Caenorhabditis elegans: one gene and its partners. The protein of the gene in region 2 purifies or fractionates together with the protein of the main gene of each other region. This does not show direct contact. Each region holds a gene or a part of one and is shown on either strand. Other genes may lie near its edges.

What was found.
Region 1: the proteins of tif-1A (region 2) and trpp-11 fractionate together in Caenorhabditis elegans (co-fractionation; one large-scale study listed by BioGRID). This does not show direct contact.
Region 3: the proteins of tif-1A (region 2) and C25H3.14 fractionate together in Caenorhabditis elegans (co-fractionation; one large-scale study listed by BioGRID). This does not show direct contact.
Region 4: the proteins of tif-1A (region 2) and rpoa-2 fractionate together in Caenorhabditis elegans (co-fractionation; one large-scale study listed by BioGRID). This does not show direct contact.

The regions. Positions count from the first base shown.
Region 1 is NC_003281.10:792,303-799,064, reverse strand, and holds the start of trpp-11 (Trafficking protein particle complex subunit 11 domain-containing protein), read right to left. Parts: upstream 3,930-6,762; 5' UTR 3,927-3,929; coding exon 3,811-3,926; intron 3,764-3,810; coding exon 3,672-3,763; intron 3,626-3,671; coding exon 3,436-3,625; intron 2,772-3,435; coding exon 2,357-2,771; intron 1,914-2,356; coding exon 1,622-1,913; intron 1,297-1,621; coding exon 1,043-1,296; intron 728-1,042; coding exon 434-727; intron 1-433. Other genes in the region: rps-29 (Small ribosomal subunit protein uS14), read right to left, coding at 4,119-4,127, 4,396-4,495, 4,695-4,756; snt-2 (Synaptotagmin 2), read left to right, coding at 5,563-5,655.
Region 2 is NC_003281.10:3,997,459-4,006,601, forward strand, and holds tif-1A (RNA polymerase I-specific transcription initiation factor tif-1A), read right to left. Parts: upstream 6,657-9,143; 5' UTR 6,557-6,656; intron 6,502-6,556; 5' UTR 6,437-6,501; coding exon 6,391-6,436; intron 6,336-6,390; coding exon 6,073-6,335; intron 6,011-6,072; coding exon 5,591-6,010; intron 5,291-5,590; coding exon 4,725-5,290; intron 3,819-4,724; coding exon 3,640-3,818; intron 3,584-3,639; coding exon 3,472-3,583; intron 3,353-3,471; coding exon 3,254-3,352; intron 2,915-3,253; coding exon 2,721-2,914; intron 2,287-2,720; coding exon 2,201-2,286; 3' UTR 1,828-2,200; downstream 1-1,827. Other genes in the region: pxd-1 (PSI domain-containing protein), read left to right, coding at 8,717-8,783, 9,096-9,143. UniProt on the Caenorhabditis elegans protein: Required for efficient transcription initiation by RNA polymerase I (Pol I).
Region 3 is NC_003280.10:5,692,874-5,698,064, reverse strand, and holds C25H3.14 (Acyl-coenzyme A thioesterase 13), read right to left. Parts: upstream 2,683-5,191; 5' UTR 2,672-2,682; coding exon 2,397-2,671; intron 2,019-2,396; coding exon 1,934-2,018; intron 1,879-1,933; coding exon 1,807-1,878; 3' UTR 1,707-1,806; downstream 1-1,706. Other genes in the region: C25H3.10 (F-box domain-containing protein), read left to right, coding at 343-459, 505-615, 668-883, 933-1,076, 1,126-1,371; C25H3.3 (Acyl-coenzyme A thioesterase 13), read right to left, coding at 3,326-3,412, 3,455-3,539, 3,585-3,859; eif-2D (SUI1 domain-containing protein), read right to left, coding at 4,303-4,476, 4,521-4,805, 5,047-5,191.
Region 4 is NC_003279.8:9,279,388-9,289,108, forward strand, and holds rpoa-2 (DNA-directed RNA polymerase I subunit RPA2 homolog), read right to left. Parts: upstream 7,190-9,721; 5' UTR 7,176-7,189; coding exon 7,002-7,175; intron 6,947-7,001; coding exon 6,803-6,946; intron 6,641-6,802; coding exon 5,805-6,640; intron 5,403-5,804; coding exon 4,976-5,402; intron 4,747-4,975; coding exon 4,621-4,746; intron 4,566-4,620; coding exon 4,285-4,565; intron 4,099-4,284; coding exon 3,307-4,098; intron 2,858-3,306; coding exon 2,749-2,857; intron 2,698-2,748; coding exon 2,500-2,697; intron 2,219-2,499; coding exon 1,922-2,218; 3' UTR 1,536-1,921; downstream 1-1,535. Other genes in the region: prom-1 (FBXO47 ARM repeats region domain-containing protein), read left to right, coding at 8,060-8,186, 8,235-8,354, 8,400-8,510, 8,554-8,703, 8,750-8,877, 8,924-9,100, 9,157-9,331, 9,375-9,545 and 1 more. UniProt on the Caenorhabditis elegans protein: DNA-dependent RNA polymerase catalyzes the transcription of DNA into RNA using the four ribonucleoside triphosphates as substrates. Second largest core component of RNA polymerase I which synthesizes ribosomal RNA precursors.

The DNA of each region.
Region 1 (6,762 bases), 3.2 Mb from region 2:
GAAATTTCAGATTAAGCAAAAAATTTGCCTTTTTTCGAAATTTTTACCCGCCATAAAAAATTTTTGAAATTTTTTTCGTCAAGTCTCATTATGAATTTTAGTGGTTTTGTTCCAGTTTTAGTCTATTTAAGCAAAATACCCAGAAACTCTACTCTCCCTTTTAAGAACCTAATTTTGGCACTTATGGTCCTTTGTTGGGAGAAAATTCTAGTTTCTTATTAAATTCAGTATACTTGTAGTCTGATCTCTAGTGTTCCGAACTTTTGTTCTCTTGCAGGAGTGGACAAGGTTGTTTATGCACATATATGTGCATTGTGCTTAATAGCCGGATAGCCAGTACAGCGCCGGATATTGAAAATTATTTTTGGATAACAAACACAAAAGAATGCGCATTTATTGTGTTTTAATATCCGGTTTCCGGGTGGGGATTTACCTGCTCTTGTGAGATATCATCGTTTGGAAACGGTGATCCAGGTGGTTTTCCGTCGAGAACATCTAAAAGGCCTTTAACACAATCCGAGGGAAGAACTTCTGAATATGCGGGACACATTAACTGCATACAGCATACTGCGTAGTCTTGAATACTGGTGATTGCGTAGGCGGCCCACGTGGCACGATGCATCATATCCTTACGAATAGAGTACGGTAGAGCATTATCTTTTACTACGAGTCCCCAGAACCGCAGAGCCCGCTGGATTTCGTTGTTTGCGTAGCATGTGTTAGCCATCTGGAATTTCATAGAATTTGGAAATATCAGAACAATAAAATTACAGTCCTAATAGAATTACAGTACATATTTTTGCCTTTGACAACAATTTGCCGTATCAAAACAGGTGTAGGTGGGAATTACCGGTTTGTCGATTTGCCGGAACTTTTTAATTCAGGCAACTTGTCGGTTTGCCGGAATTTTTCATTTTCGGCAAATTGCCAGGATGCGTGCAATTTTGCCGCTCAAAAATTGAAATTAAAACTTCCAAAAGAATGTGCAAAACCAGATTGCCGGTTTGCCGATTTGCCGGAAAATGATTCAAACTGTAATTACCTCCATCATAACCTTCTTCTTCATTCTCAAACATCCATATTTCTGATATTGAGCCAATGCAGCTGATAACAATGAAATTACACCTTCATGATTGACTACAAGCCTTTGAATAATTGCTGTAACTGCAGCAGCTTCAACTTCTGCAGTTGCCAATCCTTCATGATTTATTCTCCATGGACGTTGGCCGAAAAATACAGTACTGGAAGAGTTTGCCAATGGATCTGGGGATGGGTATGGCACATTTTGTGGAGCATCTGGAAATTAGAAAATAAACGGGAAAACAATTTCAAAAAGGCACAGTTTTAAGTGTTTCCGTCTTTTTAAAAAATCCCTCTAAACATTTCCGGCAAATCTGATATCCGGCAAATCGGCAAATTGACAATTTGCGGAATTTGTTGACAAAAAAATGTGGCGAACGGTAATTGATTGTCTGATTTTGTAAATTTCCGTTTAGTAGAATAAAAACACATTTTTCAAAATTTTATATTTTTAAAGGCTTCACCATTATAAAAATTTCAAATTAGAACTAAAATTTGGTACATCTTTTCAGAAGTATCAACAATTCGTGCTAAACCTCACTTCTCTTCAACGCAGCAATTTCAGTATTCGCAGCGGAATAAATACTAGCAGCTTGATCCAAATGTGTTCCAGGATTCAAAGTGGCAAGTGCCGATAGTCCGCCGGCAACTGATCTCTCGAATAAATGTGCAAATTGATAACATTGCTTGGATTTCCAGAGCAAAAGTTCAATTGAAGCAAGATGTGGTGTTGGATAGATTCCCGGTGATGAAGAGAAGAATACTGTCGTGTGACGTCGCATTTGATTGATTGCTTCGAGTGCCGTACTGTGGAGGAAACATAATTCGCACATCTGAAAATTTAATTGCAATTAAAATAATAATAATTATGTTATGTTTTATTTAAAGCATATATTTTGTTGTTGATGTGATTTTTTGAACGAGAATTAACGGTTCGGACGATTTTGAACGAATAAACCCAAAATGGGTTCAAAGTTTCGAAAAAATACACTGAATTCAGCTCAGGGGTGCGCGGCAATTTTCGAAAATAAATATAAATCGGAATTTGAAAAAATTTCACCTTTTGCAACCCTTAAAGGATTAAGCCATTTTGAGCTTAAAAAGAGAACATTGTTCAGTAAAATGCATGTTTAAGCTCCTAAAACTACAAAAAGTATCAAATTTATATTTGCGTCAATCGGCAATTTCGGCCATTGCCGGTTTTCAAAATTTCCGGCAATCGGACACCCCTAGTACTAATAACGGAATTCTTGGTTTTCAGCAATCCCTGCTGTACCTTATAATTAAGCAATCCAACAACACTTCTCCACTCAAAAACATCGACTCCATCCCATTGTTCAACTGTATCCCGACATTGATCATAAGCCAATCGATAATTTCTCAATGCTGTATGAGTATCCTGTCTGAGTTCTGACAGAAACGCCAATTTGAATTGTTGTCGTACGACTAACGCCGGCGAGTTATTCGGAATATTTCTAGATCGAATAGTTTTCAATCTTTGTTGATAGAATGCTTGGCACAGTTCATGGAATGCTAGCTCGAGTTTTAACGCGAAATTCTGCAGATTTGTGGTATTCGGAGCCAATAAATTGTCCGCGGGAAGTATGAAAAGTTGTTTTGACGAGAGGGAACATGCTTGGCAAAGTTCGTGAGCTCTGTCTGCTGCCAGATTGTCACTGATGCTTGTTGATCTGGAAAATTGTTGAAATTAAGGGATTTCTCACAGCTTTCTGTGATTTTTTTTGTGAACAATTTAATTTTTTAAAAAGAGTTTCTTCGCAGCTTTTCTATAATTTCTTTTTGATTTCTAGCTCTCAAGCTTTTTTCAAAAAAAAAAGTTTTTTTGAAAATTTCGATTTTTTTTTGTGGTTTTTCTAACAAAATTATAAACAAATCACACTTTTTAGAAATTTTTCATTAAAAAAGCTTTTTCGGGCGTTTTTACAGAAAAATTCACAGAAAAAAGCAACTTTAGTCAGTTTTCATGAAAAATTCGCATGAAAAATGGAAATTTTTGTCATTTTTCAACGAAATTCTATGAAAATTGCAATTTCCTGTCATTTTAATTGAAAACTACAATAAAATCAAAACTTTTAGTCATTTTTATGAAAAATCGCATGGAAATAGTCATGCTCAGCTTTTTCGGGCGTATTTACAGGAAAATTACACGAAAATCACCCTTTTCGGTCATTTTTCCACAAAATTCTACGAAAATTGCCAGTTTCTGTAGTTTTTAATGGAAAATTACAATCAAATCACCATTTTTCATGAAAAAATAACACGGAAATCGGCATATTTAGTCACTTTTTACGGAAATTTCATGGAAATGACCGTTTTTTTTCAGCATTTCCTCACTTTTGCTGAATCAAAACGAGCGCAATTTTCGTCCCATGACGCAGCGATCCTCTTATACTTGCAACTTTGCTCTCTGCTTCAGTCTTCTTCTCTTCCCAAGATGGATGATCCCATTCTAAATCAATGAACACGACAATCAGTGCCGGTACCTTATCCAGATACTTTTGAGGCCACTCACGGCGGAGAATTCCTGGAAAATCGACGTTTTTAATCGATATTTTGTCAGTTTCTGGCACCTTTTCCTGACCCAGTCTCCCGTTTCGGTGGAATATCCAATTCTCCGGAAACTACGCGAATATGAAGTGGTGGTTTGTCGGCTGTGCGGTTTCTAAATTATTTTTGGCGTTTGAGGAAGTTCTTCATGTTTCAATGTACCGGAAGACATTGACGATACTGTTGTGAGCTGGCTTATTCACTGGATTTAATCCCGACAGGAAGACAAGTTGAAGTGGCCGACCGGCTATCCAATCACCTGCTTCTACTGGATCCATCTGCTACAATTGAACGGTTTCTACTATCCCTTCCCCAATAAAAAAGTAGTCCTCCTCCAGATTTGAACCGTTTGTTTTATTATTCACATAAAATTATAACATAGACATTATGCCAACAATTTATTGATTGAAGACATGAAGTTAACAATAACAAGATTTGACGAGGCGGTTGCAGACGTGGACGCTGGTTGCTCAATCAAGCTGAAAAAAAAATAAGTTGACAGATAATAAAATACTTATTTATTTTAAAGTATATTTGCAGTAAGTTCAGGTTTGTTTGCTGATCTTGAACAGGAACTCTAAAAGCTGATGTACCTGTCTTCGAGACATCAATTCTATCTTGCAGACTAAACTAAACGTCGAAAAGCACAGGCATTCGCGTAATGGACATCTGCTCATCCTACTTGAACTTTTAAATATTATTTTAGTTGGATAAGGTTCCTTTTTTGCATAATCTAGTTAAATTTACCTTCTTGAATCCGATGTCTCTGGCTTGCTCGCGGAAGCATCTACGGCAGAGATCGAGGCCGTACTTGCGGATAAGTCCGTGGTGTCCAGCGCAGACGCGGCTGAAAAATTCAGATAAATGTATTTGAAATACACCAAGTTCAGGTTTGTTTGCTGATCTTGAACATGAGCATCAAAATATGAAGCACATGTCTTCGAGACATCAATTTTATTTCGCAAATTTAACTAAACGTCAAAAGGTAAAGAGCCTTTTCGTAATGGACATCTGCATTCGAAATTTTTGATGAAAATAATACTTACCAGGAGCGGGATCCTGGTCCGAACTTGCGTGGGTGAGAGAACCACAAATTTTGGAAACCCATTGTCGAGAGCTGAAATGGAAACAAAATTAACATCTCAGAATGCAAAATGTTTCGAAAAAGCTGTAAACGGAGGAAAAAAGCGGAAAACAAGAAGACGGTGAGAAAAAAAGCGAAATGCGTCAAAAAATCGATAATTAAAGCAACAACAGCATTTTCCGTAAAATTTCGTTATTTTTCGAAATCTTTCCAGAAGAACTAGTTACAAAACTTCTAATTTAATTCTGCTACTTATAATTACGGAAACAATCGTTTTCCTTGCAAAAATATGGAAAATAGATCGAAAAACTTGATTTTCGGCCAAGAGGCAGAAAATACGGGCGATTTTAGCAAAATGTTGACGTTTTTGGTGAGAAAATGCACGAAATTTTGATTTCCAACAAAAAATTCATTTATTTTCGAATTTTTAACAACAAAAAACACAAAAATCCATCGAAAAATAGGCCAAAAGGAAGAAAAACGCAATTTTTGCAGAACACTCCGCCACTCGGGTACGGTCACACTCGTTTCACGTGTGTCAAAGTCGCGGCGAGACCCACACCAAGACTGCTCCGCCTCCTTCGGGTCGTTTAGGAGGGAGGAGCCGCGCTTTTGAATGGAAAAACGACAGGAAAGAACATTTTTGTGCTCCAAAATTTTTTCAGACAAAAAAATTCGAAAAATCTGAAATTTAATTATATTATTCACGATTTTCGTACTATGTAGCGAGAAAACACCCTAGAAACTCACTATTTTAACTATTTTTCCCCGTTTTTTTATTTCACTGATAACATTTTCTCACTGATACCGCCACAATCAATTATTCAACCATGTGGGCGACCGGAGCAATCGTCTGCTCGCCAGTATTCCGGATTTTGTCGACGTGTTGTCCGATTCGTCGTGGCGTGCCAACGTCGAATGGGGTGAGTGGCTATTCTGATTTTCTTAAAGAGCTAAAAGCTGACAAAACTTCGTTTTTAGTTCGAAAAATTCCTAATAAAAATTTAACGAAAAAAAATTAAAAAACACTACCCGGAGTTTAACCAAAAAGTTTTCACACCAAACTGTGCACACTACTCATTGCGCCAACTGAACACGAAATTTCAAAACATTTTTGGTAAAAATATCGAAAAGTAGATCATTCGATTCTAACAAGAGAGAACAGAAAAAACGTGGACAAAAAAGCGAATTAACTCGGTTCTTCTACTCTTTTTTACTGCCGGGTCGTTAAACATTGGCCACTCGTACGAGTTGTGAGTGTTGCGGCACAAAAATGGAGAAAAAAAGCTCATCAAAAATTCATTTGTTGTCATTTTCCCATTGATGACGTGGAAAATTAAATTATTCGTTACTTTTTTTGGAGATGCGGATCTAATTGACTTAAAATAGTAAAAAAAAAGAACCGAAAATAGAGTTATTTCATCGAAAATAAGCACATTCAAGCATATATATATTCGCACTGCCTCGTGGCTACAAGCCAGGGGTGGGCGGCAATTGCCGTTCCCCAAATGGCAAATTGCCGGAAATTTTCGATTCCGGCAAATTGCCGGTTTTCCTATTTCTCGCAAATTTTCAATTCCGGCAAAGTGCCGATTTGCCGGAAAAAATCGTTTGCCGCCCACCCCTGGTAGAAACCATTTAAATTTTAAATTTTCAAAAAAATTTAGTCAAAATTTTTTTTTCACTGGTTTATCAAAACATTTTTTAAAATTTAAAATTTAAAGTGAAGAAATCCCAATATGATAATATATGTATGCGCCTTTAAAATTACTGTAGCTTTAATTTTTTAAAATTGGATTTCGCGTGGCGAGACCCATTGCGCCTTCCTGAAAGTGCCACAAAGCACGTTTCATTGTAATTTTGACTGAATCCGGGTGGACTTTTCGATTCTCGTTACTTTTTAACGAATTTTACAAACACGTATTAAGGAATTTTATAAAAACCACTTGGTTTTAATTTTTTCTGTACGTCTCTATTTTTGAAAAGATCTTATTGAAACCAACAAACCGACCTTTTTTTAAAAGATTTCT
Region 2 (9,143 bases):
GCTTAGAAAAATATAAAACTCGGCCATCATGAAAAATAACTATATTTTGTCTATTCCAGATTAATGATTATAATTCTTGTTTTCATAAATATTTCAATTCCGTCAGCACACTTTGAGTCAATGGGGGCTCCTAATATTGTATGCACAATTCTTATGAGATTTTGTGCGCGGAATGGGTCCTTCCGAATCATACTACAAAGTATCCACGTCAGAAGCAGCAGAAGCTGAGGATATTTATTTTCATTTTCGTCAGAATTAGATATTAGAAATAGCGGTGGTGTAGGTGTTTGGGAATTTGATTTTTTCAGGAAAAAAAGTTTTGCAAAAAAAACCGATTTCAAGAAGGACCTGCAGAATCGTCCTCGATTTGATTAGTTGTATCCACGCATTATGCACATATCGAGAATGGTAACTCTTCCATGAACGTGCCTTCCTGCCTACCTACCGCCTATTATTTCAAAACCAGCTCTTTTGCAAAGCTGTTTACTTCGCGAGGAGAACAAATTCATCACAATTCATTTTTTATCGAAAAATTCAAATTTTTCGGTGAAAATCGGAAGTTTTCCACAAAAATATGAACTTGCCTCTGCTTATTATTTCCGTCTTCATATTTTGGGAAATTCCAGCCGGAAAGCAAAAAAAAACGTCACGATCTTTTTGATATCAAACTAATCCCAATATTATTAGTGGGGAAAAATATGAAGAAGAAGACGTGATCCGATTAGATTTCTGCAAAAGGGGAATGAGAAGTGACATTTTCAGTCAAAAGAAGGCATTTGGGAGAGAAGGAAGAAATATTCAAAAAAGGAATGGATAAAAAAACGGAAACATGTGCCTTTGTGTATGCGTGTGATTTGAAATGTTATGCTTGTGGATAAAAAAGGTAAAAGAATTGAATTGTGGTGTGAGAAATAGTGATAAACAAGAATTTAGTATGACTAGGATTCCAAACTCTCATATTATGGGGACGCAGTTGTTTTAAATTGAAGTAAAAACGCGCTCCACGGCCAATTGAGAATGCTACACCCCCGAATTGTGGGTCTTGTTAGGTATTAGCAGGAAAATTGTGAATTTAAATGTTTTTCAAATCAGTTTTGGTTCTTTTTTTTGTTTTCCATTGGTTTTATGATTTTTATGACGAAATTGATGAAATAACATTAATAAATAAATGAAAAAAAAAAACCAAAAATTAGCAACAAAAAGTTTATGAACTTAAACAATTTTTCCAAAAACTGTAAACTCCGCTTCTCCTCGTGGAGTACACGAGCTGCGTGAATCGGCACATTAAAGATTAACTTTTTCATGTAGAAACTTTAATGGGTAAATAAGGGAAAAAATACTATCCACTGCGAAAACAGGAGCGATTTTCAGATCAAAATGGGTCCCGACACGAGCGTAACTTTTCAGCTACAGTACCCACTTGTATTTCTCAATTTTTTTTGCGATTTCTTTTCAATATTATTCAAAATGTTCAAATTAAAAGAATACAATTTGTTCGCTTTAATTCTCTGCAATTTTGTCAAAAACGAAAAGAAACAACGCTTCTGTGGGTACGGTAGCTGAACAATTTCGCTCGTGTCAAGACCAATATATTTTCAATAAGTTAAGTTACCGTAATCCAGTATAAAGACGCATAATAATTCAGATTTTTCTCAGAGTATTTTTTTTTGTATCCGAATTACTAATCCTATTCTAATTTTAGTTCTGCTTCTGACACTTTTGATTAAAAAAGTTTGGTTTTGCGTCATAACTTTTAGTTTTTTTTTTTCAAAAGATGAGGGATTACGCGCGTTACTATTAGTGGTATGTCTAAATAAGCTGACAAATCATGACTAACATTTGAATTTTTATGATTTTTCGGGGTAAAAAATTTAAATTAAACGTTGAAGGAAAATGATTAATAGATTTGGAAGTCTTAATTAAACAATTGAAACTAAGATAAGACTGGAGCAGAGAATGGAGAATGACATTCAAGAAAAAAATCGGGGAAAATGACTACGGAAGTTTACGGGGAAGTTTCTACAATTTTTTCGCGTAAAAGTCCCGGGGAGAAAATGAAAATGGAAAAAAAATTAATATAATACAATTTAATGAGGTAAATCAACGACAAAAGTAACTCAAGAAAATGCCAGAAAAAAACGAAGGAAAACATGGAGAAAATCAGCAACAAAACAATAAAATATGGAAAACAGATATTTATTTAGACGTTGAAAGTCTGTAGTCCAGGAGTTGCCGAGTAGTTGATCAGCGAGCTTTGTCCACAGGAGAATGTACGTTCGCGGTATCCTGAAAATTGAGATATTTGGAAAAAAAAAATTTAATTTTTACTATCAAAACTTATTTAGATATGTTTCTAAATTTCTATAATTTTTTTGACATTTTTGCGCTTTCCGGCTAGATTTATTGGTTTTTTATTGTTTTCCAATTTATCTGAAACTTTTATGAAAAATTAAAAAAAATGTTCTTAACAACTTATAGCGCAATCTTTAAGGTTTGCAGGATTTTCTGAAAAAAAAAGTAAAAACCCAGAAAGTTTATCCGGGAATTTAAAATTAATTTATTCAATTAAATACTTTTTGCAAAATTAAAGAAACCATTGTAGAATTTAGCAGTGAAACAAACATTTAAAAACTTGTTGCTTTGAAAATATAAAATTTTTTTAAAAAGTTAAAAGTAAAAGTTAGTGTAAGTACACATATCGATTGTTTTCCGAAATTTACCTGAGGATCCACCCATCATCATAGCATCATCTTCATCCAAGAAATCGAGACCTTCTGAACTTGAAACTGCCTCTGCTGACTTTTCTGATTTATCAGCCGTCGCAGCATTCCAGCACAATGCTTTTGTAAGTGTAGACATGTCTTCCGCCAATGGAGAGAATTTTCGCATTAATGGAGTCATGAACTTGCTGCTTCTGAAAATATTTAAAGATTTATTTCAATTTCTTAAATGTAGAGTAGTTTGAATGGGAATTTAAGCTTCAAAAAAACTCCAAAATAGTCTCTAAGTCAGAAAAACCACCAGAGAAAAACGAAAAAAAAACGCGTTTTTCAATTTCGGCTGAATTCCCTCCAAGCTGGCGACCGGTCGCGGAGCTCTTATTTTCAAACGACTTCAGCCAAAATTTAATAATCTCGTTTTTGAAATTTGGATTTTTCATTCTTTCGCAGATTTTTCCGATTTTATCAGTAATTTTTGTGAATTAGAGGATTTTTTGAAGCAAAATCTCAATAAAATTCAGAAAAAAACTGACTCTTTCAAATGATAACAATCAAATGGGAACATATCATCAAATGGTCGTTGAACTTCTTCAATTGGAATGATGTGATTACAGTAGACAAGTTGCAAGGATCTGGAACTTTTTCAGTGATTTTTTCAGCAGGAAATATTAGAAATTTCAATTTTCTGGTGATAAAGCTTCCATTTGTAACTTCGTAACTTCATTTTTTTGATTTGTAACTTCAGTCATACCTTGTTATAGCTGAAAAGCATCTGGCAACTGGTTTTGACACGTATTTCAGGGGCTCCAACGGAGAATGCACAACTCTTCCAACTCCCCAGCGACGGATTGTTTCCAGCATATCTGAAATAATATTTTAGTGTAAATAAATCATTTTTTCAAATTAAAATAAGAATTACCTTTATTCTTGACAAATTCCTTATATCTGAACGCAAAGACGAGGAAAAATGCTTGAGAAACCGAGTAAAATGTTCCATGTCTTTGAAGTCCGGGAAGGATTTGAGAACTTCCAGAACCGAATTGATCAACGTAGTGACGGAGCCAAATGTACACTTCTTCAAGCCACGTGAATGCAGTGCTGAAATTATGAAATTAACTGCAAAAATCTCAGAACTGTAATTACGAATTTACGTTTGAAAAATTATTAAGTTTTCCTAAAAAATCTAAAATTTTGCACAACAGTTTCATTAGTTTTTCTTTGAAACATCGTTTGTCGAATTTTCAGACTATTTTCCAAAAAAAACTTGTGAAACCGAAAGAAAATTGCTGAAATTCTAAAATTGATTTAAAAATCACTTACTATATAAAGCGCGTGTCCTTCTATCCCTATGTAGTTTGATCTTTGATCAGAGCAACGAAATTTTGGGAAACCTTATGCTAAGTGCGCAGCAGACATCGATCGAGGTCCGCGATAGACACCGTATATCTAATGTGTTTTCTCAAAAAGTCGTAGGCGCGCCGTAGGTGCGGTCCACGGCTGGTTATAAATAATTGAAATTACGTAATTTCAAACATGTTTACGGAAAACGTAATTTCTTACTGAATACTTTTTGAAAAACCATGTTTCAAATCATATTCACACTTTTAAAATTAAAAAAAAATTCTATAATTTTTAATTTAATATTCTGTCATTCATTCTCCACTCAGAAACGATATCTTGTGATCTTTGAAAAAAATTAAACAAATATTCGTTAAATGCAAACAAATTTGTGTCTTCAAAGAGTACTGTAAATTTTTCGTTTCTTTGGAATTTTTTTAAAAACAGATTTTTCGTATTTTTTCGATTTGTTAAGCTTTAAAGTAAAAAAATGTTTTGATCCAAAAAAATGTGACAGAAATCGATTTATAAAAAAGCAACGAAAGTTTAAAGTTACAGTAATCTTTAAAAGCACACACCTTTTCACATTTAACAAAAACTTGCCGCAAAAATCTTAAAATTTCGAGCCTGGATAATATTTTAAATTTTAAAAATCTCTCTCTTCACCTCTTCTTGACATATTTGGCTCTTGCCAAAAAAGCGGCCAAATACGAAGCAGCTCCCTGACTTTTTCTCGCATCAGCCGGGGCTCTTGGCATTCGAATGGTCACCTGCCACAGATGCTCCAACATTTTCTTCTCGTATTCCTGGCTTAACGAACAAAAATACAACCAAATAAATGAGACGTATTGAACATGAGTTGCATTGAGCATTGTCGATTCAAGACATTCTAGAAATGTGTCAAAAAGCTTCTCCTTGGGTAGTACTTTGTCTCCAGTGATTTTAAAGTTTCTGAGCCATTTGTCATTCAATTTTGTTCGTTCATTTCCATTTTCTTCGTCTATTTCAGAATCAACTGAGCTTCTAATGAATGTGATAACATCCGTGCACACTGAGTCCAAATATTGAATCATTTGTTCTCCTTTTCTTTGTTCCAATTGTTCTGGTGTAACATCTTCTGAATCATTTGTATTTCCCTCAACGACTTCTTCTATTAGAATATCATCATTTAATGCGAATAGTCGAGGACTTTTGCTCATTTCTTCGTTTTGCTCGCATTTCCAATTATGTGTCTGTAATAAATTTGCTTTTAGTAAGTTATTTTTATAAATTCTGAAACTATATTAGACTCAAATTGCCATCGAAAAACCGAATTTCATAATGAGACGTCATGAGAATGTTTTAAAATTTTTTTAGAGCAATTTTAAGTTGAAAAAAAAATCTTCAGTTTAGAAACGGCCAGAAATGCGTTTGTAATTAATTATAACCATTTATAAAACATTTAATTCGTTTTCTACGCTATTTTGTTGATTTAGGAGAATTTTCGATCGATTTGAGCCTAATATAGTAATTCAGGATTTTTGAATACTCACATCATCTTTAGCTAGCCGTTCGAAAACTGCTTCCCAAACGTCTTTGGAAATACTTGCTGGAATGTATTTCTGCATCAAAATGAGATTTCTCATATAGCCAGCCACTGTGACAGATGGACGTGTAAAATGTGGCATAACTCGTTTCACACATTTCAGAAGAGCTCTAGCCGAGAGGGGAAAACATCTGAGAACACTTGAAATGATATGATGAGCCATTTCAAAATGCTCATTTTGAACTTTTTCTGTGAGAATTAGAGTTACGACTCCTGTCTCTTCAGTTACTGAAATTTGGGGAACAAGTCGTTCAACGACGGCAGAATAGACTTCTTCTGTGAAACAAAGATGACGGATCGCAAGTTCGCAGAGAAAATTACGGAATCTCTCAATCACTGATCCAGGAATTTTATCCCATCGGAGACTCTGAAATATGAATATATTTTAATTTCATTTATAACTTCGCAAAAATTAAAATTTAAACTAACCAAAAGCCTTTTGACAAGTGTCTCTGTTCTCGCTTCCATGGCGTCCGCGATATTCAGAAATTGATCTAAAAGCTGAATTTTCGGAGCTTCAGATTCCCATTGCTCGAAAGTTTCCAGTGCATTGCAGATTTTCCGATATAAAACCGCAGCGGTTACATCTCCTTTCAGATAATTTTCAACAATTTCCCGCCCAGTTGGGGCTTGATTAACGGTTGGCTTCGCCTCTTCTTCAAGCTTCACTTTCTTAGGATCACTTTCGCTTTCTGGAAATTAAATTAATTTTAAATATTAATTATTGATTTATTTAAAACAATTTACCATGTTTTGGAGACAATTTTGGAGCATTAGCAGTGGATCTCTTCATGATTATTTTTCGACGAATATTTAATTGAAAAACCAAACAAATTCAACCAGAATATGCAACAAATTCTGAAAAAAAAAACCTGTCTTTAAAAGAATTGGGGAAAAATCAATGAAAACTCACAATAACAAGACCTGTACACAACAAGAAACGCTTTCCTCGAATCGTTTCGATGGAAGCGTGTTTCGTTAGCGCTTATGCGGTCATTGCCAAGCCCAAGTTGCTGGAAATTGCGAAATATTGCAATATTTCTGAGATTTTCAATTTTTCAAGAGTTTCGAAATTCAAGAGCGTCGTTTAAAACTGTTGTTTCAGAAGTAAATTAGTGTTCAAAAGGATTAAATTGTTTTAATTAATTTATTTTATAAAATTTCGTAATGTTTCAAACAAAAGTATCAAAAAAGAAGACTTAAATCAGAAAAATACGCGAGAAAAATAAAATTATTCTGCACTGAAAAAACGCAAAGGCCCTCGCTGACGCACTTACCGTGCAGCAGCTGGCGCAATTCTCGACAAGTGGCCATTCGAATTACTGTTGTTTAAACAAGCAGGTCTATTGCACTTTTATCGGTTTTTTATTATCAGTTTTATAGAATTTTCGATATTATGAGAAAATATGACACAATCACAAACCTGCATGCTCATCCTGAAAAATAACTACGAAGAATCCGAAAATTAAGATAAAATTGGTTTATTCCAGTATTTAAAGAGTAAATCTATTCATTTAATTTGGCATTCTTCACTACATTGCATGAATACTTTTAGAAAATAGATCAATGACAACTTTGAAACGATAATTCGCTGAAAAGTTAAAAGAAAATACTGAATGAACAAAATTGTTCAACAATATGTATGTCTGGAAATTTATCGATTTGGCACTATAGGTCACAGGTTTTTTGTAAAATTAGTTATATTTTCTTTTATGCAAAATTATCCTTTTTGTGCATTCATTATATCCCAAAAACGCAATACTTGTTATTCCAAAAGTCAGTTTTTTTCCGCCAAGAAGCCAATTCTGAAAATTCATATTACCTATAGGTCTATAGACGCGTATAATTTTGTGATTTTTGTCTCAAATAAACGGTGACCGGTCTCGACACGAAATTTTTTGTTAAATTCAAAAACATGTGTGCCTTGAAAAGTACTGTAACTTCAAATATCTTCATAGTTTTCCTCACGATTTGATGAATTTTGTGTGTCTCTTATTATTTTATTAACGTTTATCGAAAAAACCAAAAAAATATTTTAAAATTTTCGTGGCGAGACCAGGTACCGTATTCTCGAACTGTCGCGGTTTGCCAAAAAAAAGTTACAGTTTCCAGTATTAAATTGAGAATATTTGAATTTACAATTTTGCCACCGAATACCTAACGAGACCCATGGTTCGGGGGCTGAGCGTTTTCTATTCTTCCTCATAATACAGCACATTAGAAAAATTGCCACATTTCGGCTTTTCCTAACAATACGTGCCATTTATCAATGAAACAAAGTTCAAAATTATCGTGTACTTGCATCGTGAAAAGATCAAAGTTTGTGATACACCCAAAAAAATTTAAAAAAAAAAGGTAGTGACCGGTCATCAGACTAATAAGAGTCATTTGATTGATATCATCAATGTTTTCTGTCCTTATCTTATTATCTCAAGATACACACTCTCTCCAACAACCTCAGAGCATTCAATAAATCACTCATTGGTCCCAATAATTATCCATCGAAACATGAACCCCTGTGTCTGTTGTCTCGTGTCAAACCAATTACTCTCCTCCATCCGACTCTTTTCTCTTTTCTCCCTTCATCTCGTTTATATCCTTTCTTGAGCTCTACACAACCAGTGAGAGCACCCCTTTTTTGGACGGAAGGAGGGACGCCTATTCAAACTCCACGCACTTTTTCCCCTTTTTCTTTCCATTGACTTCCCCTTATTTTCCACTTTTTTGTTGCCAAGATTTTGATTTTTTTTTTAGAGAATCTCGAAAACTACTTTTTGAAAGAAGTTGTGTCTCCTTTTGAAAAAAGGGATATGCATTGGAAATTATTGTGTTTCCTGTTGTTTACCATTCCCCTTAAACCTTGAGCACATTTTGAATAGGATGTGCCAAAACATATTCAAATATTTTCAAAAGAAGAATCCTGAATTTATAAAAGCTCAAAGTCCTTAAGCTGATCGTGTTATCCGATGAATCCCTACAATATTGCTTCTTCTGATTTTATCACATTTTCTCAAAAAGTATATAATCTTATCAATTTCAGCTTCCAGATCAAAACATTAATGCATAATCAAAAATGAGGCAATTGACGACGGTAACAGTAATATCATTGGCTCTGCTACTTATTCTCAGGATATGTGAAGGTATGTGTTTTTAGTCAGGCCCTTCAAGTAGCCACGAAATGCCTGCCTGATACCTACATACATTGCTGCTGCTAACGGTAACGTGAAACGTTTTCAAATTAACTTCCAATAAATTAACTGGTATGACGGAATGAAAAACAGAGCAGGCAGTAGGCAGGCAAGGTCTAACCTTTTGTCATAATTCCAGACCCACCCAGGACATGTTTTTTTTACAATAAAAAAAGTTTAAAGAAAAATTTCGAATAGTTTCTCGGTATAAAATAGGGGTTTAAAAATCAGAAGATTTTTTGCAACTAAGTCTCCGAATTTCAGCACAAAACATTGACATATCTCGAGAACGAATTCCCGATCAAATCAGGT
Region 3 (5,191 bases), on a different chromosome or scaffold from region 2:
TATGGTCTAAATTTAATTTTAAAACCACTCTTTTTTTTGGTAATTTTGGATAATTACAAAAACGTTGTCTAATCATTCGAGTAAATCTAAAAAATTTCAAAGTCGTTAATTATCATATTTGGGCATTTCGATTATAATGAGTTATATTGTTTTATAAAATATACAAGTTTCCGTCTTACGATGCACCATCTTTAAAAAATAGTTTTGTTTACATAAACCTATCGACATTAACATTTACATTTTAGTTAAAATAATGTTTTATGATATACAAATTTTTAATAATTTCATTCTAGAATCTAGAATCTAGACTTTTCAAAATAAATACATTAAATTTCATTCCAGACTGAGTTTCGAACAATTCAAAGTATGAAGACTGTCTCTAAAAGAGTACAACATTTTATTCAGTTGTACCAAAGGTACATGTTGCCCATCCCGATTCGTCAGATGTTTGTTACTCCTGTAAGTACATTGTCATGTTGATTGATGTTTTGACTTCAAATTTAGGAAAAGATAAGTTTCACATTAGCAAACTCGAATGAAATCAACACTATCAATCATGATGACATGGATAAATATCTTCGTGGTGCTAAAGTGGATTTACTTTGGCTAGAGATGGTGAGTATAATTAAAGTTTCAAGAAATCAAATATTCAATGTTACTTCTCCAGAATGGAAGTGAAGATGAACCTATTGAATTTCTTCAAAAAGTTATTCAAAAAACAAATTTCACTAGAATTGATTGTTTGAAATTGGGAAGCTCAAAAGTTGAGTGTGACGTCACAAAATTGGAAAATTGCATGGCAAGTTTGGTGTGTGCAGAACTAATTGTTGACTGGAGATTCAGAGTTCCTGAGGATTTTTTCAATGAACTTCATGTTGAGAAGGTTTGTATTGAAAGGAAATTTCAATAGTTTTACCAATTTTATTTTGAAGTTAACTCGATTAACGATTGGAAATCAGGAATCTAGAAACTTCTACCACCCACTTTCGGGAGATCACTTCAGAAAGTTCAGAGGAGATTGGTTGGAAATTGGGCAAAATCGTCTCAGAAGTTCAGATATATCTACCTTCCTAAAAGTATGTTTCTGTGGAATTTGATTAATCACTCCATTTATTCGAATTTCAGAATTGGAAATTGGGCTCCATTTCTTGGATTGAAATGTACAACATTGTCATTAGTTTTCCAATTCCCGAATTATTGATTTTACTGAAAAATGAGAGTTGCCAGAAAACACCAACGACGTGGAAAGTGTCTCGGGATCTAGACGAAGGAAAAGAGGAACTTGAAATTGGATTCTTCAAAAGTACAAACTTCTCGAAACAGCCATCATTGGTTATAAGGCAATTGAAAATTTTAGAATATTTGTGGTGAATTTTGGTATCTTGTTTTGGAATAAGTTTTCATGATAAACAATGTGTATAAAAAAAGTGATCGAAGGCGATTATGATTTCTTTTTTTTTTCTTGCCTCCAACATAACCGCAGCAAGATATGTTCGGAATTTTTTAATGGAATTTTTTATAAGACTTCTTTCTATGATTTGCATCCAAAAAATATGAATTTTGAGCTTCTTCGTCACTTTTGGTATTTCACTGAGCATCAACTCAGAGCGTTGGCGTGTGATACGGAGCCTTTAAAACACATTATCCTTACAACAAATGATCTCTCACTTCCGATATTTGTGTTTTTTAATGGCAAACAAACACATATATTGATAAAGATATTTATTTTCTGAAATGAAATGGAATACATGGTAAAATAATTCTAGTTTAATTTGCATATAACATTATTTATTTTATGGTGAGCGATCACTTTGGGAACGCCTTGGTGTGGACTCCAGTAGCAATCATTGCATTGTCCCTTTTACGATAGAGTTCTGCCTGAAATAAAACACTTTTGTAATCAGAAATATTCAAGAATAAAAAAATATGATACCTTAGTGAATCCAAGAGAGCGCCCCTGTTTGATGACAGTAGAGTTGAGTACAAGAGTTTCTCCGATGTTTGCAGCTGTCAAGTATCTGGAAGTTACGATGATCATAAATATTTTCTCCTGAATTTCTGGCATTATTAGTTTACGAAAATGAACGATTATAAAGCTAAAATATAGGTATGGGGGTACTAGAATGAGCGAAACTTTTCAGTTACCGTACTCGTGAGTACGGTAGATTTCTCTTTTTTGTTGGTTTTGCAATAAATCTGTAGTTTTAAATTAAAGGTTGGAATGGAAAAATTAGAAAACATTAGAAAAAGTTCGTTGGTACCGTAGCTGAGAACATTTCGGTCGTGGTGGGACCCCACACTGAATTTTGGCTTAAATATTGCACTTGTTCGCAAGACTTATATGTTTCAAATCATTGCATAATCTAGGAAACCTCTATTTAGATATAGATACTCACGTAATATGCAAATCCACTGAAACACCAGGCCTCGCTTCCTTTGTGAGTAGAAGAGCACCAGTTGTGAAACAATCGATAAGTGCTGCTGTACATCCACCATGAAGTGTCTCGAATTGATTTGTCTGATCCTTTTCAACTTCGAATTCCACTCGTAGATTTCCTTCCTCCGCATGAACTGCTCTCACATTCCGTGCTCCAGCCGCATAACCGAATTGTCCTTTTGTCCCGAACATTTTGATCACTTCCTTCGCAATTTGCATGTATTTTGATGCCATTTTCAAGCAATCTTAGAAAAAATATATGATTTAAAAATATTTGTTTCAAAACAAAAATCTCATAACCACGTAGACTTGCGTGGATTCTCTTACCATCAAAACATGTACAGAGTACTCGGATTAAAACGAGTATTTATGGAAAATTGGAAAAAAAACAAGAATTCTTTACAATTTTATTGCGGAATAATAGTTTTGTACACAAGGGAAATGTTTTTCAAAACGATCAAATTAGAAATTGTGTCTAGGAATTATGTTTAGGAGGTATTCCAGACACGAAATTTTGCGATTTTTGGGCAGAAATCACGGTAGCCGGTCTCGACACGAAAACTTTTTTTATAACGGGAAAAGGTGTGTGCGCCATTAAAGTTTACTGGAAATTCCAACTCTTGATTTTTTTTCGCGATTTTCTGAAAAAAAAAAGTTTTAATTGATGTATGGGAGTTTTAAAATAAATTAATAAATGTTTTTTTTATCGAAAATTGATGGGAAATTGTTGAAAAATCAATGAAATTTCAACAACAACGAGAGTCTAAAATTACAGTACTCATCAAAGAAGCACACCTTTTTTCATTTAACCAAAACATTTTGTGTCGAGACCGGATACCGTATTTTTGGCGCACGGATCGCAAATTTCCATGTCTTGGAATATATTGATTAGTTTGCTTTCTTCACAGTTGGGAATGCTTTGGTATGTACTCCAGTTGCAATCATTACATTATCACTTTTACGGTAGAGTTCTGCCTGGAAAAAAATAATATTTTTAAAACTTTTCTTAAAGTTTACCTTTGTGAATGCAAGAGTTTTTCCTTGTTTGATGACGGTGGAGTCGAGCACAAGGGTCTCACCAATTTTAGCGGCGGTCAGGTATCTAAAAATCTATCAAATTCGACAATTTTCTTCTCTCTTTACGTACGTAACATGCAAATCAACAGATACTCCTGGCCTAGCTGGTTTTGTGAGAAGAAGAGCCCCAGTAGTGAAAATATCAATGAGCGTAGATGTACATCCACCGTGAAGAGTGTTAAAATGGTTTGACTGATCTTTCTCAACTTCAAATTCCACTCGTAGATTTCCTTCCTCCGCATGAACTGCTCTCACATTTCCTGCTCCGGAAACACATCCGAATTGACCCTTGGTTCCATAATTTTTGATGATTTCCTTCGCCAATTGCATGTATTTTGAAGGCATTTTGATTTAATCTGAAAATGGATTAACATCTTAAAAATTTAGAACAATTTATCCCCCAGACGCGAAATCTTGGGTCCAAAATGCGGCACCAGGTCTCGACACTTACAGTACTCTTTAAAGGCACACCCTCGTTTTTATCTCACAAAAAAAGCGTGGCGAGACCTAATACCTTTTTTTTCTGCCCGAAAATCGAAAATGTTCGCGTATGTGTAATATTTAAATTGGCACTGATAATTCACCAAGCGGATATGTTCAAAACGATAAGAGAAAGTTCTTCATGAATCTTTATGGAACCGAAAATACGAATACAACCCATACTTAGAAACACACGGGTATTTAATAAATAAAGAAAGACCGAATTTCAAAACAAAAAAATTAAGGTGTGAGGGAATACATTGAACAGATTTAATACTATTTGAATTTGCAAATTTCTCCAAATTTTCTTATTTCTTCTTTTTCACCGCCAACTCGGTTCCTTTCATAAATTTCTTGTCGATTCCATACGATTTTATCAGAAGATCAGCGATAAAATGAATTTGATTTCCTTGAACGAGTACTTGAGGACCTTCGACGCCAGGAACTTCCCATTGACTTGTAACACTAGTAGCCACACCAGTCTGAAAATTCAGAAATTAGTATTTAAGGATTAGCCACCAACTACCTGAATTTGATGGCAAATCGTTCGAATGTCAATTCCAAACATCGCTAATCCATTTAAAAGAGTAACTTTTTTGTTTCCAGCACGGTTTTCGATCTTGAATTCAACTCTCGGTGGAGATACTTTTCTGACTATTTCTCTGCCGTCAGGCCATCTTATGTGCCATGTTGCAGTCATTCTTGAATGGATTTCTTTCATCAAATTTGCCCATGGAGTTGTATCCGTTTGGATTTTAGTGACCGAAAAGATAATTGGATCAAGACGAACTGATCCTCCAGCAGCAAGTTTCTAAAAACATCATTTACTATATATAAAGCGCGTGTCCTTCTGTCCCTATGTAGTTTGATCTCTGATCAGAGCAACGAAATTTTGGGAAACCTTATGCTAAATGCGCAGCAGACATCGATCGAGGTCCGCGATAGACTCCGTATATCTAATGTGTTTTCTCAAAAAAGTCGGGGGCCGCGCCGTAGGTGCGGTCCACGGCTGGTGACAATTATAACTGAATAAGAATTATAAGGAGACTTACGTTTTCATTTACATATTTTGTGACAAATTCTTTGATTTGTTTCACAGTCAGAAGATCCCCTTTTGAGCAGCCAGGGAACAACTTCAGCGTTGGTTCGGTAATTGCAAAATATTCAGCTATCACGGGAGCATCAAACTTGGCCTTC
Region 4 (9,721 bases), on a different chromosome or scaffold from region 2:
ATTTTCAAAAACTGTGAACGAATGATGCAAAGTGTTAAGAAGGAAAAGGGGACCCAGAGGGGCGACGTATGACGTCATGACAAAATGGGGAAAAGCATTGCGAAATGTGATGTGCGCAGATGGGCACATCAAAATTTTAGGACCTTGTTTTTGGCACGTTCTCTATCAAAGTAGTTTACGTTAAAACAGTTCATAAAACAATTAGTATTCTTTGGATTCAAAATTTGCTTTAATTGGTTGAAGCTAAGAATAACAAAAAAAAACCGTCGAGAATGGAGAGTTTTATTATGAATTTCTACTATAAAAAAGAAATGTATAACTTATTTCCACTGTGAAATTTTATTTAAATTTTTCTCGATATTACTTTGTAGTTTTCTGAGTATTATCGTTTATTCGTGAGAAAATTTAAAGGTGCACACATCTTTTTCTTGGGTCTCGTCGCGATCAAATTCTACGCCCGAACGGTTATGGGTCAAAAAGCTCGTTGTGAGACTCTATGGAAACAATTCCTGTAACTTCTTCAATAAGAATTTAGCTGAAGATCCTAACGAAAAATGATCGTCTGAAATTTCTCAGAAGCCAAAAAATATGGAGAACGATTTTTTGAAAAATGAAAAAAATTATAAAAGCAAATATATAAACGATATTGAATCGTGGGAACAGTTTTTTTTTGCTGGAATATAAAGTATTGGTATTGATTTTGAATGAATATATTAACCGAGGTTATTGAAGATCACTCAGACGCGAACTTTTTCTCCAGAAGTACGGTACCCGGTCTCGACCCGAAATATTTTTGTTGAATTCAAAAATGTGCGTGCATTTCGAATTTAACAAAATTATGTCGTGGTGAGACCTTGGCGCGAAAAGCGCAACATTTCGCGTCTTTGTAATATATTCTGACGAAAATTGAGCAAGTGAAGGGAAGAATGACGAAATTCGTATTCCAAAGAATTTGCATCATACAATTGGGCTCCGAGATATTCAGAAGAATGATGCAAATCTTTGGGAACACTATTCGAAAATCTGGAAATCTATTTTCTATAAACTTTCTGAAGTTTCTATACTAAATTAGAGAAAAATTAAGTTGTTTCAAAGTTTAAAAAACTGCTGATTTTTGTCTTTCTCCGTGGCAACAGCCTGCAAAAAAGAGGTTTATGGCTTCTCGTCTCGAATTACACGTTTTTCGCTTTTCCATCGCCGTTTTGTTCTCAAAAAAATGCTGACATGATTTTTACACATCAAAAACGTGCCGTTCCACGTTTCTGCCGCAAAATAAAAACAGAAAAAAAGCTCTCGATGCTCCTTGAACATGCCACGTCATAACCTAGGAAGTTTTCACCCACGAAAAAAAAATGAAAAAGAAAGGCACAGAGGTATGGGGGAGCGCGGGGAAAATGGGAACATGGCCGCCAGGGGCTTATTGGAGCAGAAAGAGCACAGAGCAAGAGCAAAGAGAGAGTGGAAAAAGAGGCAGTGCGCGGAAAAACGGAAATTTAGCAAAAAAAATCAAAGAAGTGTGTGGAGAGAGGGGAAGGTTGCAGAGTGCTTAATGTGATTTACTTAAACATATAAAATGTATAACAACAACTTTATGGAATATTGAGGAACAAAAACTCAAACAAAAAACAAAACAAAAAGTGAACAATAGAAACAGAATAAATTGGATGAGGGTAAACAAAAAAGTAACAAAAATTGCTAAAATCGGCTAAAAATCAAAAATTTCAGAAAAGGTTCAACAATAAAACAACTTGCAAAGAGAAAATAACAAAAAATAGACAAAAACCGTGAGATTGTTGTAGGATAGGGGACGGAGAATATTAAAGTGTAGTGTAAAAGAAATTTTTTAAAAATCAAAGTTTAGAGAACTGCATGAAGTTTTCAGTATTTCTATTATGAAGGAAATGTTGAAAAAATAATGAAATTAACTTCCAGTTACTTTGGATGGATGTTCGATGCCCAACTTGATTTTCACATTCATTGCAGCTAACTCGGCAGTCAAATAACGGAAGACACGAGGAACTTGAAGCAGGAAAACTTGATCATCTTTATCACACGTACGACATCGTTGAGTTTCCGTGTAGTCCAATGGTTCGTCGTCTTTCCTTTTCTTTTTCAATAAATGTGATCCTGCACGACTGGACATCAACACGGACAATAGGGATCCACAACGACGACAAGCGTATGCTACGTCACGATCCGAACAGTTGAGAAGACGGTCCTGGAAATTAAAATATCAGTACAATGAAGTTAGTGTTGTCGCTTTTTCGATTTTTTTGAGTATTGAAAAATCGAAAACTACTAGTTTTCCAATTTTGTTCAAAACTTCGATTTTTCAAAAAAAAAACAGATGTAAACTTTGACCAATTTTCTTCTTTTAAGATTAACTTTTTTTTTAGTTTTCTGAACATTTTTTTCCGATTTTTCAGTTTTTTTCCCTGAAAAAAACAGAAAAATCTAAAAAATTTTCGGTGTTATTTTTAAACATAGAAATAAAAGTACCTGCAACACGAAAGATGTTCCATGTGCAATAATAGCATCTCTTTCCATTTCTCCAAATCGAATACCTCCTCCCTTTTTTCTTCCTTTTACTGGTTGATGAGTAATTGGATCAATTGGTCCAGTGGCTCTCACTTGGAATTTATCAGCAATCATATGACGAAGTCTTTGATAATAAACAATTCCAAAGAAGATTTGCATCTGTAATTATGAAAAATGTTAATTTTTCAAACGATAAATTCTAATATAAACCTCCATTTGACGTCCATCAACTCCCGAATAAAATGTTTCGTTACCGTAGTAATTATAACCTGCTTTTGTGAGTAATTCTCCAAAATGGTTGATTGCTGTGTTGTCTTCACTGAAAAATCAAAACATTGTTAAATGGAAAAAGAATCGAAAAAACGTAACTGTAACTGTTAAAAACTTTTCTAATTTTTTTAAATTTTTCTATTTTGCAAAAAAATAATTATTTTCGAATTTCCGCGAAACTGAAGGTACTGGTTAAATTGATCAGTTTTTATTTTTAATATATAATTTTAAACACTGTTAGTCTATTTTTCAGGACATTCTCCGTAAAGAAAACTTCGTCGAATCTGAAAAACAGTTGGCCCAAAAATCGATACTTCCACAAGAATGTATTATTTATTTTAACGGAAAAGTCAGAAAAATTGACAAGCCGTGTTTCAATTTGATATTTATTTGCACGGGAATTCAAAAATTAGTCGGCCCATTTTTTAAAATTAATTTTGAAAAATAATTTTAGAGATTTAGAATTATTTTCAAATTTTCAAACAGTGAATAACTTACTTGAAAACAAATGGCGATGCATCATAATTCTCTCCGTGCGTAGCTGCCGCTTTTCCAGCCATACTCTCAATCATCATACCGATTGTCATCCGAGATGGGAAACCGTGAGGATTGAAAATAATATCAGGTACCATACCGGTTTCTGAGAATGGAAGTGATTCAACAGGCCATAGGAATGAATTAATTCCTTTTTGTCCGTGTCTCGAAGCGAATTTATCACCGATAATTGGATTTCTCTCAATTCTCCATTGAATCAAAGCATGTTTTGCACCAGAATCGCCTTCTCCTTGTTCAACAATTCTCACCAAACCACAATATGCCGGTTCAGCGTAATGGAATTTATGAGTTCTGAAATCTCCAGTTTCCATATTGAATGTGACATAATACACTTCATCGAGGAAATATCGTCTTCCTGGAATCGGCAAACCATCTGGTCCAACGGTTTTGATTTCTTCTCGGGGATTTCTATAGAAAATCGTTTTTCGTTCTCTCTCGGTCACCAAATTAATTCTCTCCACTTTGATAACTGTTCCATGTGCAAAACCTCTTTGATATGATGCTTTATTGATTGTCATAGCATCTTCCATATCATATCCTGTATAGGAGATCACAGCAACACAAGCATTTGTACCCAATGGATATTCATCCATTTCGTATTTCTCATAAGCCTCCAGTTTTAGCATTGGTTGTTGTGGAAATTGTAGACGATACATTTTGTTGTCAGCACGTGAATGCCATGCATGTACGGCGGTTCCCATCGTTTGTTTACCCATTTGACATTGGTACACATTACTGGAAAAACGTTTAATTATTTTTATTTAAAGTCAAAAAGTGATGAAAACTCAATTTTCACCTATCAAGATTCAAAAGTCCCAATTTTTAGAAATTTTGCAAATTTAAAAATAATCTAATTTTTTGAAGTCATATTTTTAGACTAAATCTCCACTACTACAACTGGAAACTCTAACGAAAACTTACCGTGGTGACTGATTATGATCTGGGAAAGGAATTAAATTTCCAGCAAATGAAAATAAGCAAGAAGGATGCAATTCTTGATGCATAGTGACTCCTGGTTCAGCCTCTTCTGGATCAAGTACAACTGAGAGATAAACTTGTTCAAAAGTTCCGATATGTTCAACAGCATCCATTGCTAGATTACGTACTGGACGAATGAGACGTCCAGCGTCACTGAGAATGTAGATTCCTGGATATTGAGTTTGAATATTCTTGATATCCGTGGATCGACGAACAAGTGCAATCTGAAAAAAAAAGAAAATATAATTCATTCTTCAAAATAGTTTAGAAAAACAGTACCTCCGAAGTATAAGGAATTCTTGCATCTTTCGCAACTTTTGCACATCGTAGATATCTCTCAATTGAAGCAGCTTTAGTAATTGGAACATATCCAAGGAATCTTCCATTCATTAGAACTGGATAAAGCTGTAAATTATGATTTAAATTTGAAAATAGAGTTATTAAAGGTTATTTCATTTAAAGCTTAAAAATTGCCTGGAAATTGCAGATTGCCAATTATCGAGCTTCGTTTTTCTGCAATTTGCAACTTCCAGGCTATTTCTGAGCCCTTTTCAAATATTTCAACTGAAATAAGTGTTATTTTCATATAAGGAAATTTTTAAAATATGCTTTATACTTTAATAAATTGTTTTACCTCTTCACCTGGCGGTGCCAATGCAACAGTTTTGTGTGTATACATTCCCAATTCAGCAAGAAGCGACGGAACATTTGAATTATCAGAGAGATCAGTGACAATTCTACATGATGCAGTTACGTGATTCAATAAACCACATGGAGCTCCATCAGGAGTGTGTACAGGACAAATAAATCCCCATGCTTCTGGTCTCAATTTTCTAACATCTGTGGTTCGCATTTCCATAAAGAATGCACCACGATGAATTGCACGGAAGTGAGAAACGAAACGAAGTTGATTGATTCTTTCAGCGATAACTGAGAAACCAGATTCTTGTTGAAGAGCAAGACCGACACGAGTCACAAGATTTCCTGTTGCAAGGAAATATGCCATTCCACGAGTGATTTCACCACCAGTATGATTTCCAAGTGCTTTTAGAATAGCGGCGCTGAAAGTTAGAATGTTTATGCCAAACGGAAGATTTAAAAGTTAGAGCTCCGAAATCTGAGACTTTGCTCTTTTTTATGACCCAAAACTACCAAATAAATATTTTAATACATATGTTGGTCGTCGTTTCATTGAATTAGGTACATTTACGTAGATTTAGGTGCGTCTAAGGGTGCACAAAATTGTCGACTTACAGTTAGAAAGCTTCCGAAACAACGGAACAATACATAATAAATTACCAAATTATGCATTAAAGAGTGATAATCAAATAAAAATGTACTTTGGCAACTTTAACAAATTGGCAAAATTTGAGATTATAGCCTATTCTTCTTTGAGAAATTTTCAGAATGCTTAATTTTTAAAAAATCGGTAGTTCTAGGACATTTTTGGTAAATGAACTTACGATGTCAAAATGAAGTCCTTCCTTGAACTCATGTACTCCAATTTTCTCCTAACCATTCCAATGATATTCTCCATTCGTTCTCTCAGAATCAACAAAAGAATATGTCCTGAAACAGAGGCCTCTTGGAATTGTGGATTATCAGGTGTCTCTGGAGCACATTCTCCTTTCACAAGTGCAATGAGTTTCTGTGTCATGTACGCAAGAGTATGGAATTTCTCTTCATCACTATCCAAATGTATAAGTACACATTCCCGAATGATGAATCGACCAGCTTCAAGATCATCTTCCCATGGAGCAACTCTATCAGATACGGCTACTCTGAAACGAGAACCGATGGCTCTAATGGCGGCTTCTTGATTCAAAATTTCTTCTTCTTGACATTGAGCAAGCATATTGAGAATGCAAGATGAATAGAATTGATCTTGATTTCTTCCTCTTTTGAATCCAGCACTAATCACTGCATCATTCTTATCAGTTAAAGCCTTCACAATATACATCAACGGTACATAAAAGATTTCCCGTCTGAATTGAAGTGCTAACTGCATAGTTCCAGTGTCCAAATAATGAAGAGTCATCATTACAGCCGTATGATTTTCCTTAACACTTCTCATCATAACTCCAAATTCCGAGAACAATTTTCCTTTCTCTTTGAATGTTTTTCTGATAATTGCGATTGGAAAGTTTCTTCGATTCGCGATCAGCAATCTAATCACTTTTTCTGATCCATTTACAATGAAATATCCTCCTTTTTCGATTGGCTCTTCACCGGCAACTACAAGTTCCTTTCGAGACATTCCACGGAGATGGCAACCTTCGGATCGGAGCATAATTGGTACCTAAATATTTTGTTGTATAGTATTTTCTTTTTCTAATATTTGCTTGGAGAATTCAGAAAATGAAAATTTAACCTCGAAACAAGTATTTTATTTCTTAACTTTTAACTTTTTCGAAGGAAGGTGACCCAATTCTTACTTTCAACGCAGTATTTATAGAATTACCTTTCCCAAAATAATTTCAATAATGTCCAACCGGCTTCCGTTCACATGGACATCGATTCCAACTTTTAAATTTCCAGCATATGTCAGTCCACGTTGTCGACATTCCGCGGGAAGTAAAGGAAGAGTGTCACTGGTGAGCTTCGCCTGAAAATTGATTTTTAGAATTTTCAATATTTAAGATTGCAGATCAAATACTTACTCCGGTATCTAGCGTTGGCTTATGAAGTTGAGCCGACGTGAACTTCATTGTAACAGCATCGCCGTTTTTCAGACGGAATTTTTCTGCAGGAACAGCTTGGGCAGCAAATTGACATCCTTTTGAAACAAGAAAATCGAATGAATCGACATGATACGACGCTATGTCGCAGTCCATCGCCTGAAAACTTGAAAGTTTAAATGAATAATTTTTCGAACTAATACAAATGTTATAATAAAATGAAAACTACATATTCAAATGTATTTGATTATTAAATAAAAGATTTAGGGGTTGGCGAGCAGTAAAAATTAGAAATGGAAGAGAAGGAGCGACAGCCACTGTTCAGTTCGGCCACAATTCGAGGGGAAAAGAGAGGGAAAAGAAAAATGAAGAGTTAGATGAAAACTAGACGATAACAGCCTGAACTTGATTATTTCTCCAATGATAAAGGAATACGAAAACTTTCATGAAACAAACTCAAAATAAGTATTGGGACATATTATACGAAAAAATCGCGAAAACGCAAATATTGGTTATAAATACATTTATTATGAACTTGCAAATAAAATTTAATCAAACAAATCGATGAGAAAACCGCAGGAAGTTATCGGCCCACTAAACGAACGTATTATTCAGAAAATAACGGCGGATTTTAACAGCCATGAAGTTAAGGAAACGATTTTGAGTTTCTGCAGCAGTTTAATTTATAAGGAATAAAATTTAAATGAACAAGTGCTTCAAAATAATCGATTAAAAAAGAGGAAAGTGAAGAAAAGTTCGAAAAGAACCGAAAAATCGATCGAAGCCAAAGAACGAATTAAAGGCGCATTGCTTTTGTCATATGGGTCTCGCCACGACTTTTATGGGTACTGTAGTGGGGGTGTGTTCAAATTTCAAATCAATTCGAATTCCCGCCTAAATGCGAGTGACCTATATTTTGCCTCATTTTTTTTTGTTTTTTCTTGTTTTTTTAGTTTTTGATCATTTATGTGAAATATTTTTAATGTCAAGTTCTTTCTGGTCTATTACTTGATAATATCAAGCCATTTTCAGAATCCAAAATGGATAAATCAACACCCAGGCGGACTTACAATTTGCGGAGTGCTGATCGAACAACACAAAACAGTCCAGTTTCCAGACAAAGTCTAGAAAATCATCGCAATGCTTCAGTGTCTCTAAGAAAAAGAAGTAGTACTTCTTCACTTCAACGCATTCAATCAGAGTTTACATTTACAGATTCAGCCACAGAGGAACGATGTTCTCGTAAAAGACGAAGAACACAGCAAACACATGGATTACCTTTTTCATCGCCAGATGCTATTAATCATCAACGAGCATTTCATCTCGATGAGCACAGTAAAAAAATCACAAGTATTCTCCAACATACATTTTTAATTCCAGAAGTATGTTCAAAGCTTACTACAAGATTGTCGATTGAGGTGGAGACGTCGTATGGAAGTTTCGGTAAACTACCTTATGATGCCGTCATCCACATATTGACAAGAACACCATGTATGTGGTAAAATATATTTAACTTGTAGAATTAATTATTCAGACAATCTTCTAAGTCGCATGGTAATGACATCTTCCTGCTGGAATCAAACAATCGGAGCATATATGAGAAGTGGAGCTTTTCGTCGTCGCTGGCTGTTAGACATTGACATTGCGCCAAGTTCTAAACCATTGGATCCCTTCTTTGATATGGGTCAGTAACATCAACGATTTGTCTCAAACTTTCTTGTTAATTTCAGGAAAACTCGTGAGGTGCCTGACGATAAATTATGAATGGAAAGCGAGGCTAGATTGTCTGAAATCGTTTATGACACTGGCGTACGAGTCAGGTGCTCTGATTGCCGGACTTGGCAAGATGATTCATGCGGTACTATTCGTTATGCCTTGATTATTTTGAAAAATTAATTTATCAGTTCACAAATCGCCCAGACGAAGACATTGTATTGGAGCAAATTGATGACATCGTTGCCATGCTCTTGGCGCTAGTTAGTGGTCTGAAAGATGACTTGAGTGCTGTTCTTTTCACCCCCGAAACGGATCGAGAGCTGGAAGAATTAGATAATATGCCAATTCTTCGCGAAGAGATGAAGGTTTGTATCTAGGAGAACATACATATTTTCCAGTTTTAAATATTAAATATTTTCAGTTGCGGAAAAAGACATTGAATTTGTTCTTGAATAATGGATCGTCGGACCCAGCTCATGGTGTTAATAAATATTTCTTGAGCAGTTTGATGAAAGTTTTCAAAACAGCGCATAATGCACTTCCGACTGCACTTTTCTACCTTCTGTTTTCTCCGACCACAATCCAAGATGATGAAGGTTTGACATACAATTCAGTGAATAATAATTTTTGGAGTTTCAGAAGTGATTCACTGGCATCGATTGTCTTTGTTATCCGTGGTAACTTCCGAAGAAGCTGAAGAGTTAAAACCGTTATCAAGAGCAATGTGTGCTCTGATACAGTGCAGAAACTTAAAACACGTGTTGCCTTGGTCAAAGAATACAATTTTCAATTTGATGGAAGAAATTACGAGTAAATTGGACTTCAATTATAGAATATAAGCATAAATATTCATTTTCAGCATATCCAAATCCATGGTCGATGAGCACATTTGTTGCACTTAACGTCCTGGAACCGGAGCTTGTTCCCATTGGTGTTGTTGCACGAATGAATCGTAATCACGAAGATGAAGCGGGTGATATAATTTG